Caenorhabditis elegans: one gene and its partner. The protein of the gene in region 2 purifies or fractionates together with the protein of the main gene of each other region. This does not show direct contact. Each region holds a gene or a part of one and is shown on either strand. Other genes may lie near its edges. The genes, in order: atgp-2 and aat-3.

What was found.
Region 1: the proteins of aat-3 (region 2) and atgp-2 purify together in Caenorhabditis elegans (co-purification; one study listed by BioGRID). This does not show direct contact.

Annotation. Positions count from the first base shown.
Region 1 is NC_003280.10:14,639,287-14,645,671, forward strand, and holds atgp-2 (Glycosyl hydrolase family 13 catalytic domain-containing protein), read right to left. Parts: upstream 4,798-6,385; 5' UTR 4,789-4,797; coding exon 4,739-4,788; intron 4,456-4,738; coding exon 4,216-4,455; intron 3,809-4,215; coding exon 3,447-3,808; intron 3,401-3,446; coding exon 3,215-3,400; intron 3,168-3,214; coding exon 2,924-3,167; intron 2,880-2,923; coding exon 2,767-2,879; intron 2,719-2,766; coding exon 2,612-2,718; intron 2,330-2,611; exon of another isoform or gene 2,028-2,329; intron 1,923-2,027; coding exon 1,488-1,922; intron 1,433-1,487; coding exon 1,343-1,432; intron 1,206-1,342; coding exon 1,089-1,205; 3' UTR 812-1,088; downstream 1-811.
Region 2 is NC_003284.9:2,549,990-2,558,326, forward strand, and holds aat-3 (Large neutral amino acids transporter small subunit 1), read left to right. Parts: upstream 1-2,270; 5' UTR 2,271-2,446; coding exon 2,447-2,547; intron 2,548-3,575; exon of another isoform or gene 3,576-3,647; intron 3,648-3,800; exon of another isoform or gene 3,801-4,009; intron 4,010-4,241; coding exon 4,242-4,308; intron 4,309-4,368; coding exon 4,369-4,486; intron 4,487-5,075; coding exon 5,076-5,265; intron 5,266-5,322; coding exon 5,323-5,438; intron 5,439-5,505; coding exon 5,506-5,631; intron 5,632-5,683; coding exon 5,684-5,837; intron 5,838-5,893; coding exon 5,894-6,017; intron 6,018-6,064; coding exon 6,065-6,168; intron 6,169-6,901; coding exon 6,902-6,998; intron 6,999-7,046; coding exon 7,047-7,377; intron 7,378-7,424; coding exon 7,425-7,486; 3' UTR 7,487-7,740; downstream 7,741-8,337. Other genes in the region: F52H2.5 (Peptidase_M10 domain-containing protein), read right to left, coding at 8,057-8,231.

The DNA of each region.
Region 1 (6,385 bases), on a different chromosome or scaffold from region 2:
AGACCAAGGAAACAAATACTGATCAAACTTCAATTTAAGCATAGCTGAAAAATTGATAAAATTGAATTATTATACATTCAATTTGCTAAAATCGTGATTTTTTGGCAATTCAAACTATGAATAGGCAAGGAAATAAATGTAGATCGAACATTTTTTTAATAATCACTATAATACACAATCTGAAAAGTCAGAGAAAAAAAATGTGTGTTTGAAATGTTAATGAGAGAAAATTAGCCAACAATGCGTAAAGATTTGGAAGTTACCTGATTTTCATCAGTTCTCAAATCATAAACTACGCAATATGCAAAATTCTTTTAACACTATACCCAAAAATGCCGGCCTGCATTCAAGACAACCTGGTTGGAAGGGATGAGGCAGTTTTGTGCAATAATAACAATAAAAAAAATAATTATTATAAAAATTGAAGAATCATAGAGAACTATGTTATATTTAATACGCATTTTAATGACTTTTTATACCCTATTTTCATAGCTGTTAACCCGGCTGCCAATCAATTAAAATGCTAAAACTCATACATCAAAAAGTTACTAAGACATCTGTTTTAACCAGCTTTAATCACTTTTTTCTGTGTCTAATTTTATGATTGATTTGCATAATATTACTAATGGCATATGCAAAGCACAAACTTCATTGGAGAGCGTAGAAAAAAGTAAGGTCGAAAAATAACCTATTGTTGATTAAAAGTCGTATGTCGAACGAAAAAGGCAGACAGGCAGGCACGGCGTGCATTCTTGCCATAAAAGCCCTAAGCTCAATTTTTTGTTGCATTGCAGCACGTGGCTTTCAACAATAATTGTATATTTTATTATAAAAATTTAATTTTTAAAATTAACAATTCACGCGGGGCGGATATGTCACACCATATAAATAAGTAGCGGGGATTTGAGAAATTCGAAGAAAAGAAAGAGGAAAAAACGAAGGTATGCACCATTGTTGACAGGGAAAACGAAAGCAATCGGGGGCCGAGGTAACATAGAAAAATTGAAAATTACAAAAAAATTGGTTCTAAGAGTTTTGTTCTGACACATATTATTGGAAAACCTTGCATAACAAGATGAATTAGATAATCATGCTGAATAGCGGAACACGACGCCTTCATTTGGTTCCAATTCGATTTCCTTTAAGCCAAAGTCTACTGTCTGACGTGCGTAGTAGGCGACACAGTTGGATGTGGCGGTGACTATCTGCAATTCGGAAATTGAATGTGCATCGATATTGCATGTGTGTTACTAATTCATAATAGGGGAGTTGCTTTTTCTATGAATAACAAAAAGAAGGTAACAAGTGTTGGCAGTTTTTTTTATAAATTTCGAAAACTCACTGTAGATTTATGCAATTTTGAGTTGCTTGGCAAGTCTGTCAGTGGAAGTTTTACTGGATGCTCGGCAAAGTTGAGAGCGGCTACGTAGATCTGAACTTTTCATAATTTTTGAAAAATTTCCCTATGATATAAGAAAAAAACTCACATTTCCAGTAGTTCTATTTTCAAAATTATTGAATCTCGTAATCGTGAATGCTCCATCAACTAGTCGCCCAATCAGCGTGGTTCCAGTCATCAGTGCATCTTCTCTCTGTCTCAATTTCGCCAGTTTCGCGAAAATCTTCAATGTTGACTGAGGCTCAGCGTATTGCCGTTTCCAGTTAATATTCGCCACGTCGATATTTGACGGAACCGGCGGACTGATGGCTGATGTGAATCCTCCGTTCAACGAGTCATCCCATTGCATCGCACCCTTCTGTGGTGGGACTCTGGAGTCATTCGCCAGATTTCGCATGCCGATTTCCTCACCGTAGTAGATATTGTTAGTTCCAGGTAGAATCATTTGGAGAACCATCAGGAGTTGTGCATGTGGACGGGATCCGACACGGGACGCAATTCGAGCCAGGTCCGGGGAGCCGAACTGAAAATGTTAGAAAGTTTTTTTTCAAAATAATTAAAACGATTTGACTCCCGGAAATTTTTCTTTGGTAATGTTTCATGCTTACTTCCTCAAATAATACACGGCAAAAAAAATTTTGACAACTCCTAACAAGCGGAGCTCACATCGGCGGTGCTCAGATAATTTTGAATTTGTCTAACCTAGGGGGAGTGAGGCCTGTAACGTGACAGAACCCACCAGGACTGGATGAATCTATCCACCGGATAGCCAGTCAGTGGGAAACCTCTGATCGAGGGAGCTCTAGGACCGTGGCATCATCACGAGCCGAACGGGAGCTCCCGGTCCTCGTCATGGTTTGATTCAATCTAAAGTTCGTCAACTATTTTATAGCGAGATCAATCTAGACCGAAATACGTACGAGCACCGCCGAGTACGTTCAAAACCGACGGTCGTTATAAAGGGGAGGGTAGACGTGCGGCCGACACCTTGCGGGTTTCGCCTGCCACTAGGTTTTGTGTATGTGTCTCCGCCTTCTCAAGGTGGTAACGGGCCTATTTTATAGATTTTTCTTGTGTTGTCCCATATGAATTGTTGGGGAAATTATTTCAATTTACAATAAAATGACTAAAATTCGAATTTCTAAATTTAAGTTAGTCTAAATCGCCGCCACGATTTCACAATCTTTTCTCCAAAAGCCCCACAAAACTTACTCTCCAATGAGGCCAAACTTGCTCGTTCAACGAATGGAACAGCAGGACGTCGGACAGAATCTCGTGAACACAAGTGGCAACTGATCCCTCGTTCTTGTGACAAATCTCTGCAATGAACTTGTACCTATTAGTTTTCAGGTACGATAAGAACTCACTAGTGTCCTTCTCAACTTCTCCCAACTCGTAGTTGATGACTGTGTCCATCCCACTCTTTGCCATACGCTTCTTGTCCTTCTCCTTCGCTTCTTCTCTGGTAGAGAATAAGGCGCTGAAATTTCAACTTTAAAAAATTAAGTTTTCTTTCTGACAAACATTTTCTTTCCATCGGCAATTGTACTCTCGTTCGAGTAGGAATCCACATGGAATCTAATATCCCTTATGACGTCATAAATTGAGTTCCAGTCAGGTTCTGTACCATTTGGCGTTCTTGCAAGGTACTCGATTCCTTGAAGCTCAAATCCATCGACTCCGCGGTCAATCCAGTTGGAAAGAGCATTAAACATGTGCTCACGGAGATTACTGTTCTGCCAGTTTAGTACAGCGGATTTTGGATTTCCTGAAACTAGTAGTAGAACTGTTTTTCTTAATGATGAAATTCAATACCTTTCTCATGAAGATAGAAGAGATTCTTGTGCTCTGTGAAAAAGTTGGAGTCTGCCGCCTTGCTGACCCAAGTATAGAACTGCGAATAGTTGGCATTTGGTGTCTTGCTTGCCGTCGCTGAGTTCAAGAACCATTCGTGTTCTAGTGAGGTGGTGGCAATAGGGAAACTTATTACAATATTCATTTCTGCAAAATTTTCTGGCCTATGAAGTTATGTAAAGTTTACGATTACCTTTCTCATGAATCTTGTTGATAAGCTCATCAGCCTTCTGATTCACACCAATTTTTGGGTCCATTTGACTGAAACTTCTTACAGCCGTCTTCTCATCATCCGATATTAAGAACGGAGAAGGCCACACTGTTTGAACTCCGGACTTTCTCAATTGATCGAGTCGATTAATAAGTCCATCGACGTCTCCTACACCATCACCATCTGAATCCTGGAAGGACGGTACCCAGACGTGATAGGCTACGGCTGTCTGCCACCAGTTGGGCTTTGCGCGTAGGACGCAGGTTGGGGAGAAGCAGACCAGGAGAATTGCAACCGCGAAAAGAGCAAGCCAAATGAGCCAGAAGAGCACAAAAAGGACGGTTCTGAAAATATTGGATTCTTGATTTCAAACACTAAAATCTCGCAACAACTTTTGAAAACTTTGAAGGTTGTTTAGCTACTGTACTCCATACAACGTACTTTTAATTTTTTTTTTCACCACGTGTCTTCCATCCTTAAACGAAAATATTGGCGCAGAGCCAAGTAAATAACGAAGTAAATAACGAAGATCAATTGTTTGAGTTACTGATTAAGCACCCACTCAGTCGGCATGGCTTTTATTTTTTAGTTTAGGTATGTGTTTAGTGTAGGACCATTCAAAATAAATGCGCACAATTATTTTCATTTCTAGTATTACAGGCGGCAGGCACAAAATGTATTCCCTTTCCTGCTTAATGCCTACTGCCAAAGTAACACTGGCAGAAAATTCAAGTTATAAAAAATCAATTACCTAATAAACTTCCAGCAAGGATCATTTCTAAACTGCTCCAACTCTTGTTCGCTCAACCCGATTTGATCAGTATTTTTAGGATTAGTGGGAGCCGGTGGTCGTTCCCAAGACTTTTGTGGAGGTGCTTCTTCTTGTTCTTGTCGTTTTTCCTTCCGCATAATGTGTTCGGGCACTACGGGGTTTCCAGAGACCGCACTAATGTAGCTTTCAGTTTTGTTGCCACGGTCTACTTCGTAAAACCTGGAAATTTATTATCGAATTTTTACTTAAATTTTATGATTAGTTTTTTAACTGAAAAATGCACTAGAAGTAAGAATAGAAGATTTGCGCATTCCTTAACTTGCTAGCAAAATAATAAGAAAATGAAGAAAAATGAATGGGTATTTCGGCAGACTGCACAGCAGACTGAATAGAAAAATTGAACCTAAAGAACAAAGATGATTTGCAGTTTTCTTATCATTTTAATTTTCTAGAAAGGACATTCCAAACGACCCAGATCATCCCATTTATCGCTTGTACTAACCTTGGTGTCTTGCCCTCGGGACCCGGCATTAGCCGGTCGGTGGCGTCCATTTTGACTGTCTGCAAAAAATGATAACGTTCAGTGAACTTGGGAACAAAGAACAATGATTAAAACAAGAAGGTTTTGACGGAATTTCAGGAAATTGAAAAATGTAAGTCACAGGAAAAAAATAATTCTAGAAACTTTACTGCAAAAAGCCAAAGGTATAGGTGCGGCATAATTTTGGCCGCGGAGTTTTTTTTTCAAAAATGAGTTAAAATGGTATAAGCATAGATGCAAAAGTTTTGGGTACAATAAAAAAATTAATAATACGTTATTAAACTTTTTGTGTTTTCCTAAAGATATTCTTACTAAAAATTATGAAGGACACAAAATTTTAGCTAACCAAAAAGCAGAGCCATACAATTTTTCACGAAAACCTGAACTAAAAGATTTAGCAAAAAATCCAGGAAACACGTAAACGTACAACAAGGGAAAAAAATAAGAAAAAGTCGTTTAAAAGTCAAGAGAAATACGAGAAAGGAGAAAAAGAAGAAGAAGCTCACTTTCGGCTTTTTTTCTCTATTCTATAGAGGTCCCAATAGAATTCAGAGGGAGAAGGAAGATGGGCTAATGAATATAGGATTAGGATGCAGAATAGACAATTCCCACCAGATGAGAGCATACCAATTTTATTCACTGTGTATATTATAAACAAATTTATTGAGTAATATGGATTTTGTGTGGCATATTGAAGTTTTGAAAATTGAAATGTTTGTTTTTGAAATTAAGATTTTTTTTTGATAAATTTTGGTAATTAATTGGAAACTGTTTCCATTTTTTTATGAGAAAAAATTTAAAAAAATAATATAGAATGTTGAGAAAAATTTGGTCAAAAATTCCCAAAAAATGCTCAAAATTATCTAAACCCTACTTATTACCTATTTACAAATTGAGTCTCAAAAGATCTACAAAAAATCTTAGGATAATTATCATCAGAAGAATCTTGCAAATTACAGTACAGAAGCAAAAAGCTTCAATTAAAACTAAAAATCTTCAGAATTGAACACACGAAGTTTTTTTTAAAATCTTATCAACAAAAGTTTCAATTTATAAAAAATATAGTAACTAAAAAGTCATTAAAATGGAAAAAGTGTAAGGTTACAAAACTGAAGTTTTTTCAAAATCAAAAGCGTGAAACTGTGGTCGTATCAAAATCCCCTTGAACATCACCTAGGTTTTCAAGTGGTATAGGTATACAAAAAAGAGTTAAGTAACCCGATATTTCACTCTCGCCGCGCCGCGCGGTATCGGTGACTTGTCAAAGGAGGACGAACGACACGAGAAAAAGTGTAACTAAGCATTCAAAGAGCCACTCATCAACACATGTCCACCTTAATCTCAACAGCAGGTCAATTTTTGAGGAAGATTGATCGAGAAGTTGCAAAAAAAATGAAGAAAACAAGCGTGAAAAATTTGCCGATTTTTCAAAGGAGAAGGCGAATCCTCACTATTTGTTGACTAACCGCTAGGGAGCAAAGGAATAGCTTAGACGCAGGGAAAAAAGAGAACGAATTTGAAAGGAGACGTTGTTGCGAAAACGGGTAGGGAGAGGGAGTTGGTGAAGAGACGCAGAGGCTTTGAGCGACGATGAAAGAGATGAAAACA
Region 2 (8,337 bases):
ACGCCAAATGTGATAATGCTCAATTCATGGTGCATCAAAGGAATCTGCTTCGTTTATTTTGATATTTTTAAGTTCCACAGAGTAACAGGTTACGTTAAAGGAGGAGTAACGATTTTGAACGTATAGACCAAAAATTTGCAGAAATGGACGAATTTCGTCTCAAAAAGTTGTCAAAAAAAATTTTTATTTCAGTTCACAATTTCGAATAAAAAAGGGTATAATTTTTTCCAAAACCTCCAATTTTGGACACTTACCCGTTTCTCAATTTTGGTCACTTCTCAGCGGTCCAAAGTTAACTTTTTCTAATTATCATCTTTTTTGCATATTTTGGTAGTTTATCTCCCGTTATTCATTGGTTAAGGTACATTTTAAACTGATAAATAATTAATTTTTGCAATTTTTGGTCATTGGATTTTTAGGCTAAAATTCCTATTTTTGCCTATTTTTTCTAACTAAGCACATTTAGGTAACGTATGTTTAAAATACCCTAAACCTAAGTTCAAGACAATTTATACCAGCTTAGAAAATCTGTAAAAAATATGGCCAACTATGAATATTTGGTATATTTATTCAATATGCATATTCCTATTTATACCTTATCAACTACTTATTCCTCTTGTTTGTCAACAAAATTTTTATCTCTGGTAATCTCTCAATTTCATATGCTATCCTTTTCTTCTTTTTTTCTTCTTTCATTTCTCCAGTTTTTGCTTCAATCGTCCAGTGTGGATTTCATTATCCTCTCTCTCTCTCTACAACCCCCGAGCTTTACGAGTTTTTACGAAAACAACACACGCACTATTTTCTTCCCTTGTAATTATTGATTCCAAATAAATAAATAAATTTCAAAAAAAGACGGAAAAGGAAAGGATGAGAAAAGTAATCATGCGCAAAAAAGCAAATGACCGTTGTCCTAAGACCTCCGTGCTCTTTTGCTCGCTGTGTCGCATCGATCTACGAAATAAAAAGTTGTCTGAATAGTATTCCTTTTTCTTGTTTTTTTTTTGTTTTCATGTTGCAATTTCAAACTAAAAAATTTGTTTTGATGCCAACGTTGTTCAGTAGCCAAAACACCTGCTTCTGACTAGAAAAAGTGAAAAGGTGCATAAATAATGAAAACAAATTAGGCGTAATCCCACCTGCTCTAGTTGTCATGGCGATTTTTGTTATGATGTTGTTTTAAAATGTTTGCTTCATTTTTTGCTTGTTATGTGTTTTTGTGTCATTTTTCAAGAAAACATTGAATTTCATGAAGAAAAATATACAGATTGAAAAGTTTCTTAAAGCTGCAAAATATTCTAATTCTATATAAATTATTTTAAAAATGTATGACAGAGTTGGGTTCTTATTTCCGACAAAATTTTTTCCTTTCTTCTCAGTGATGAGTGATTGTGATAGAAACTGACAGATTATTTTCCAATTGCTCATTATGAGCACAACTCTAATAAAAACTCAAAACTCAATTGCAAGCTATATTAAAACCTAATACTATTAAATAACTGTTTTCAATTTTTACCATAATATCTAAAAACTTAGCTTTGGTGGAACTAAAGTTTCCATGCAGGCGCGAAAATGCCTGCCGCGCTAACTCTGCGGCGAACTTCGCCTGTCTTGCGCGGCGAGCCTCGCCACCTGTATAGTGCGGCGCAGAAGCCGAAAAGTGTCGGCCGCGTCGAAAAAACCGTCTTTCGCACCATCTTGTGTAATCACCAAGCCTTTGACTTCTCGCCATAGTGCAGAAATGAAGCGAGAGGCCGGCAGGTTGGAGGCATGCGCCAGGCACTGAAACCGCGACTACCTCCCATGGATGTCGTAGTGGTAACCCGTTTCTAGACCGATTTATGTTTGCTTTAACTCGAAACAAAATCTCTCAAAAAATTCAAACGTTTTTTTATGGTTGGGCTTATTTTAGCTAAAATTAGACAATTTTTTGAGAAATTTTTGAGAAGTTTCATTATAAAAAGTTTCCTTGTAAACACATTTTGGCTCTTTACGTTTAAAATCGTCACTCCTTCAATCATTGTTCAAAAAGCTTTCACATCCTCACACCCTCAAAGTGCAAAACAATAAAGCGTTTCACATCTGGTGCACTTTTGTAAAATGCGTATCCAAACGCACGGAAGATGATTGTTCCTGTCACATCACTCATTACTCGTTCTCCTCTTTTACACTCCCCCAAATTTTCATTTCTGTTGATTCATTGACCCACGGGTATAAACATCGAATAAGAGGGGGGGGGGGGGGGGGTCTTCTTTTCATTCCGATTCGATACCCTAATAAATGTGCATTATCCGTCCCCGTTGTTAGGGGACAAGTAAGCAAGCTGGTTCCCACATTACCGATCCGATGACCGCTGTACTCATATATGTAGTAAGTAAACTGACGAGATAGTGCGGTTTATGCGGAGGTGAGTGAGGGTGACCAGTGTGCGCAATTCTTTTTGTCAATGTCTGCCCATTCCTCGTCATTTGCCCTCTGTCCCTCAAACGGCCGACACACGCACACACACACACACAAACAGGGGCTGGACGGACACACAACGATACGGTTAGTTCATCTAAAATGACATTTGGATTCAGAGATCCTCCGTTTACCAGTTAGCGTTTATGAGCGTTTATCTTGAGACCGATACCAATTTTATTTCATTTTGTTGGCAAAACCCCAAAATGACTGCCGATTTTCATCCGATTGGTTCTTCCTTTTAGTGTGCGTGTTTGAATAGAAACTTGATCGCTCTCCGTGAGTTGAGCTTTAGCTTCTACTTCAGAGATCTAATCCTTGACACCAACCACCTGACGTTTAGCGTGTCTATCCGGATCTATTCGGATTGAATTTTATCAATATTGCCAAGGAACATAACTTTCAGTTTTATTATGAGCCATGACGTTCTGAAGTCGGTCAAAATGCGTTTTTATTTATTTTTCAAAAATCTAGTGGAGTTTTGTCAGTAGGAGTCTAAAACGATCACAAATATCAAAATAGAACAATTCAAAACATTTTGGTTTTTTTTTAAGTTTCCAAGTTTTAAAGTTTTGGCAAATTGCCAAATTTTTTGAAAAATCTAGACCTTGAGAATACGTATACATGAATAACACAAATTTCAAGTTTAAAAAATCGTAGACACAATTTTTTTAAATCGTATTCTTAAATTATCAGTGGGCAAAAACTGTCACTTTTTGACAGTAAATAAAACATTTCCAGTTATTTTTGGTTGAAAAGTTTTACTATTTGTTTTTTTTTGACGCTATAGGAGCTGGCGCTACTTGTGTTGTATACTTTGCAAATGGTCAGCAAATTTTTTGTAACCTTGATTTCATTAAAACAAAAAAAAAACAAAAAATCAACTTTATGCTACTGTCCCACCATGTCAACAACATCACTATTATTATATTTAAAGTGAAAACAGCTTAAAAAAAAAAAAGTCACGCCCAGTACTAGTTTTCCGAAGGTTTTCTTTCCTCTTCTTGCCACTAATTTTTTTCGTCTATTTCTTTGAGTCTCTTTCAATTGAAATGTTTTTTTTTTCGCCGATGTCTGCCAAAATGTAGATGGCTTTTGCTTCTCTATCTCCCAGATCCTCGGTAGTATAGTGGTGAGTATCCGCGTCTGTCACATGCGAGACCCGGGTTCAATTCCCGGCCGGGGAGAACACTTTTTGCTGCTGATTTGCGTTAGAATTATTGTCTTCCGCTTCAGATGGTATCTCTCTCTTCCGCTATTTTCACTCAACTTTCTATATATGTCCGCCACCCTGTAATTATGATCTTCATCGACCTCGTATATAACCTATCCTACCGATAAAATGCACTGTGCATAACCAAACAAGTCAATGACAAGAGAGTCAGACGAGAGGAAACAACTTACTGTCATCTCTCGCGTCTTTTTTGTAGACGAGTCGAGTGCCGGCTAGCAAGCAGCTAATGGGGTTGCGATGACCTACCGACCCCCTGTCATGTACAGCCGCTCTTTTCTCACACGTTTATCTCTTCGCGTTTCCTGCCATTAGAACTTTGCTCGCTCCTGCCACCCACTTTTCCATTAACATTTGCTGCTTCTTCGTCTACGAATAACATGCTCTCTTTTTGCACGTAGTTCTATTCAAATACGAGTATCCCTTTTGCAACACTGTCCTTGAACGTTTTTCGCTTTTCGAATGTTTTGACTTTTTTCTCAACGTCTCTTGTACTTTTTTTTTCATTTTATCATCGTCAGTGAATTTTTTAAACGAGATTTTTTTTCAGACCAAAGATGGGTAAGCAAGAACAATCGGAACCGCTCAACCAAGAACCTTCAAATGAGCATCATGATGTGAGTATTTGATTTTTTTTTTAATTTAAAAAAGTTTTCCAACAATCGAGAATACTTTAGGAAGAGGTTGGCGACAAAGGTTTGGAAAAGACGATGACTTTATTCAATGGAGTATCTATAATTGTCGGATGCATTATTGGATCCGGAATTTTTATCAGTCCAACTGGAATCCAAGCACGTAAGTTGTTCGATAAGATCAGATAAAAAACCAATTAATTTCCCGGCGAGGGTTATACATTTATACAATAGAATTTAATTGTTGATAAAATTGTTTTATTGTCATAACAAAAGATTTTCACAGAGATATACCTAGAAGGTTATATATATATATATGCAATTTAAACCTTAATTTTTGAATTCTCATAAGTTCCTGAGGACTTCAAAATCTTAAAAATAAATTACCGTGGACCCAAACGTAGGCGCGTGTTTCAGTTGAGTTAGGAGTGAATTAGGAACTTTAAAAAAATCAATGTTGTTTTTTAAAACTTCACAGTGTAGAATTCTGATTAATAATAAACTTGCTCTTTTTTCTGAAAAATAGTTAGTAACTAGTGATAAAGCATTTTGATTTTAAAACGTCCGTTATGGACCTAGAATTCTCGAAATTTCAAATAGTAAAGAACAATTTTCACTCATTTATCTACACTTATCAAACAACTGCTAACATCAATTTTCTTGCATTTGACTTGACTATCACATCAAAACGTGTCATTTGTTGGCCTACCCTGTACAACAAGTTACTCTAATAATTTTGCTCCGCTTTTCAGAAGCCGGCTCAGTCGGCCTTTCACTGATCGTGTGGGTTTTGTCTGGACTCTTCGCCGGTATTGGAGCTTTTTGCTATGCAGAACTTGGAACTCTTATCCGTAAATCTGGTGGAGACTATGCGTATATTATGGAGGCATTTGGACCATTCCTGGCGTTTCTTAGACTTTGGATTGAAAGTATTGTAGTGCGGTAAGAAGCATATTGGCGACTTGAGATTTTACATTTATTTTTTTTTCAATTTTTCAGACCATGCACCGCTACAATTGTGGCACTCACGTTTGCAATCTACATGTTAAAACCATTCTACCCGGACTGTGATTCTCCACCACTTTCCACGGAACTAATTGCAGCTCTTCTTCTTGGTAATTGACCTTTATTTTTGAATTTTCAAACTTTTGAATTTTCAAACTTTTGAATTTCCAATTTCAGTGTTACTTACGGCTGTCAACTGTATCTCTGTCAAATGGGCAAGTAAAGTTCAAGATTTCTTTTTTGTGACCAAGACTGCTGCTCTTGTATTGATCATCTTCACTGGTTTATGGAACATGGTTTCTGGTGGGTTTTAGGATTGATTCATAATTCATATTTTATTTAAACTAAATTTCAGGCAAACCAGAAGCTTTTGACTCATTTGAAAATATCTTTGAAAACACCGCCAAGGATTTAGAAACTGCTTCACTTGCTTTCTACTCCGGATTGTTTGCTTACCAGGGCTGGAACTACCTTAACTTTATTGTTGAAGAACTTCAAAATCCAAAAAGGTCCGTTAAACCAGTAACATTTTGAAAACTCGATTCACAATTTGGAAACATTTCAGAAACCTTCCACTCTCTATTGCTATCTCTTGCTCACTGTGTACCATCATCTACACTCTTACAAACGTGGCTTTGTACACGTCAATCACACCCGATGAGATGCTTGCAAGCCCAGCGGTTGCAGTTGTAAGTTAGCCAATGCTCCTTAATAGAATCTGACAAAAATATTACAGCTATTCGCGGAGAAGAACTATGGATGGTTTGCTTTCTGCATGCCAATATTTGTGGCCTGCTCAACCATTGGATCGGCAAACGGTGTCATTTTGACAAGTTCTAGGTAACTTTTTTTAGACAGATTTTTTAAAAGTAGTATCAGGGCTGTGCGGCAGTCGAGATGTTCGGCAAGCGGCAATTGCCGAAGTTGCCGAACCCCAAAACCCCAAAATTTTCGGCAACCGGCAATTGCCGAATTTGACGAGCCAAAAAATTTTTGGAAACCGGCAATTGCCTTTTTTTGAAAATTTTTTTGTTGAAATTATATTTTTGAGCGCTTTGGAAAAAAGTATGGTCGTTTTTTTCTTTTACAGTGAAACGTTAGCATTTTTCAGGTTCTCTGAATGTTTTTTTCTGAGCTACAAAATGTTTGGCCGATATCGGCAATTGCCGAAGTCGAACCCAAAAATTTTCGGCAACCGGCAACTTGGTTACCGGTTGCCGCACAGCCCTGAGTAGTATAAAAAAGAATCAATGATGTATATAAATAATTAATTTCAACAAATTTTCAATCAATTACGCAAAAACATGCAAAAAGTTGCACGTAACTCGAGGATAATTTAAAAAGCACACTTTTCAAAAATAGTGTAGGTTATCAAAACGTTTGCAATAAGGGAATTTTTTCAATGCAATAAAGATATATGAATTAATTTTTAAAAAAGTGAACACATTTGGGGTCTATATGTACATTTAAAAAACCAATAACCGTTATTAATCCTTTAAGATCAACCAAGACTTACGACTAAGTTTTAGATTAACATATATTAAACAACACAATGCGAACTAAAATAATTCAGATTATTCTACTGCGGAGCTCGTGAAGGACAAATGCCAAATGTATTAACCATGGTGAACAAAACCACAAAAACTCCAATCCCAGCCGTAATTCTCACTGTAAGTTTTGCACATTCTTACTAGTATTGAAGTTTTTTCAAATTACAGGGACTTCTTTCCTTGCTCTACCTTCTTCTCTCCAACAACATTTACTCTCTCATCAACTACATTCAAGTCAGCTACTGGATTGCTATTGGAGGAGCCATCCTTGCGCTCTTCTACTTTAGAAAAACAATGCCAGATGCTCCAAGAGCTGTGAAAGCGCCGATAGTTTTCCCAATCATATTCTTCATTGGGTGCGTGCTTCTTGTGTTGGTCCCAGTTCTTGGAAACCCGAAGGATACTGCAATTGGAATCCTTATTATGCTGTCTGGTGTCCCTGTATACCTTATTTTCATTGCATGGAAAGGAAAACCAAAGTGCATTGACTCGCTCACAGGTAACTATTTCAGTTTTTGGAGTCCATTGATCAATTGGAAATTTCAGATTCCGTCACGATCTTCACGCAAAAGTTGTTCATGGTTGTCGACGCCAACAAAGAGGAATAGTGTCATAAAAACTTGTAGCTCTCAGTTCTCGGCGCTCACAATCCCCAGTTACCACCAATTTAGTTTTCGTTGTTTTCTTTTATTTACTAAAGTTCGAGAAAAACTGATCTCAACTATATTATTTCCCCCCCCCCCCTCCCCCCAATTTTACAGTATTTTGCCGCCGATATAAAAGAATACAATGACAATTCGTACAAGTAGAAATGCGAAAAACCATAATTATTTTGGCATAATAAATATATTCTCACTTCAAACACTTCTACATATTCTGGCTAATAATCGGTTTTCCTGAAAGTTGTTGAATTGCAATTTACAAGGTTTTTACTTATTGTTAGATTTTTTTCCACGGAGTTACAGGTTTTCACAAACAGTAGAATATGTTTAGAACCTAATTTTTAGTTTAAAATCTAAGTTAGATTGTTCTGGAACGTTTTACTTGCTCCAGATGCGGGTGCTCAACGCCTCTTTTTTTCAGACCCCTGGTTAATTAGTTGGAAATTGTTAAAATGGTTTATGTGTCTAAAATTATGTTTTTACATGTGAAAAATAAATTAAAACGTAGTTTTTGGCTCAGCGGCGACGAATGCGGTCATAGTCACAATTGTTGTAAATGGACGATTTTTTGTAGAATAACGATGCTCCATAGACAAATTGAACAAGAAGCGAATCCCAATCCGAATCTTTTGGAACAATGCATTCAAAATTCATATCAACGGAATAGTAGAATCGATTTGTGTAGTAGGAGCTGAAATTTAAATTTATTGAAAATGAGCAAAAATATTTTGAAGGTGGAGTAGCGAAAATTGCCTTTAAAAATGCCTATAATGACCTAAATCTCATACTTAAAAATT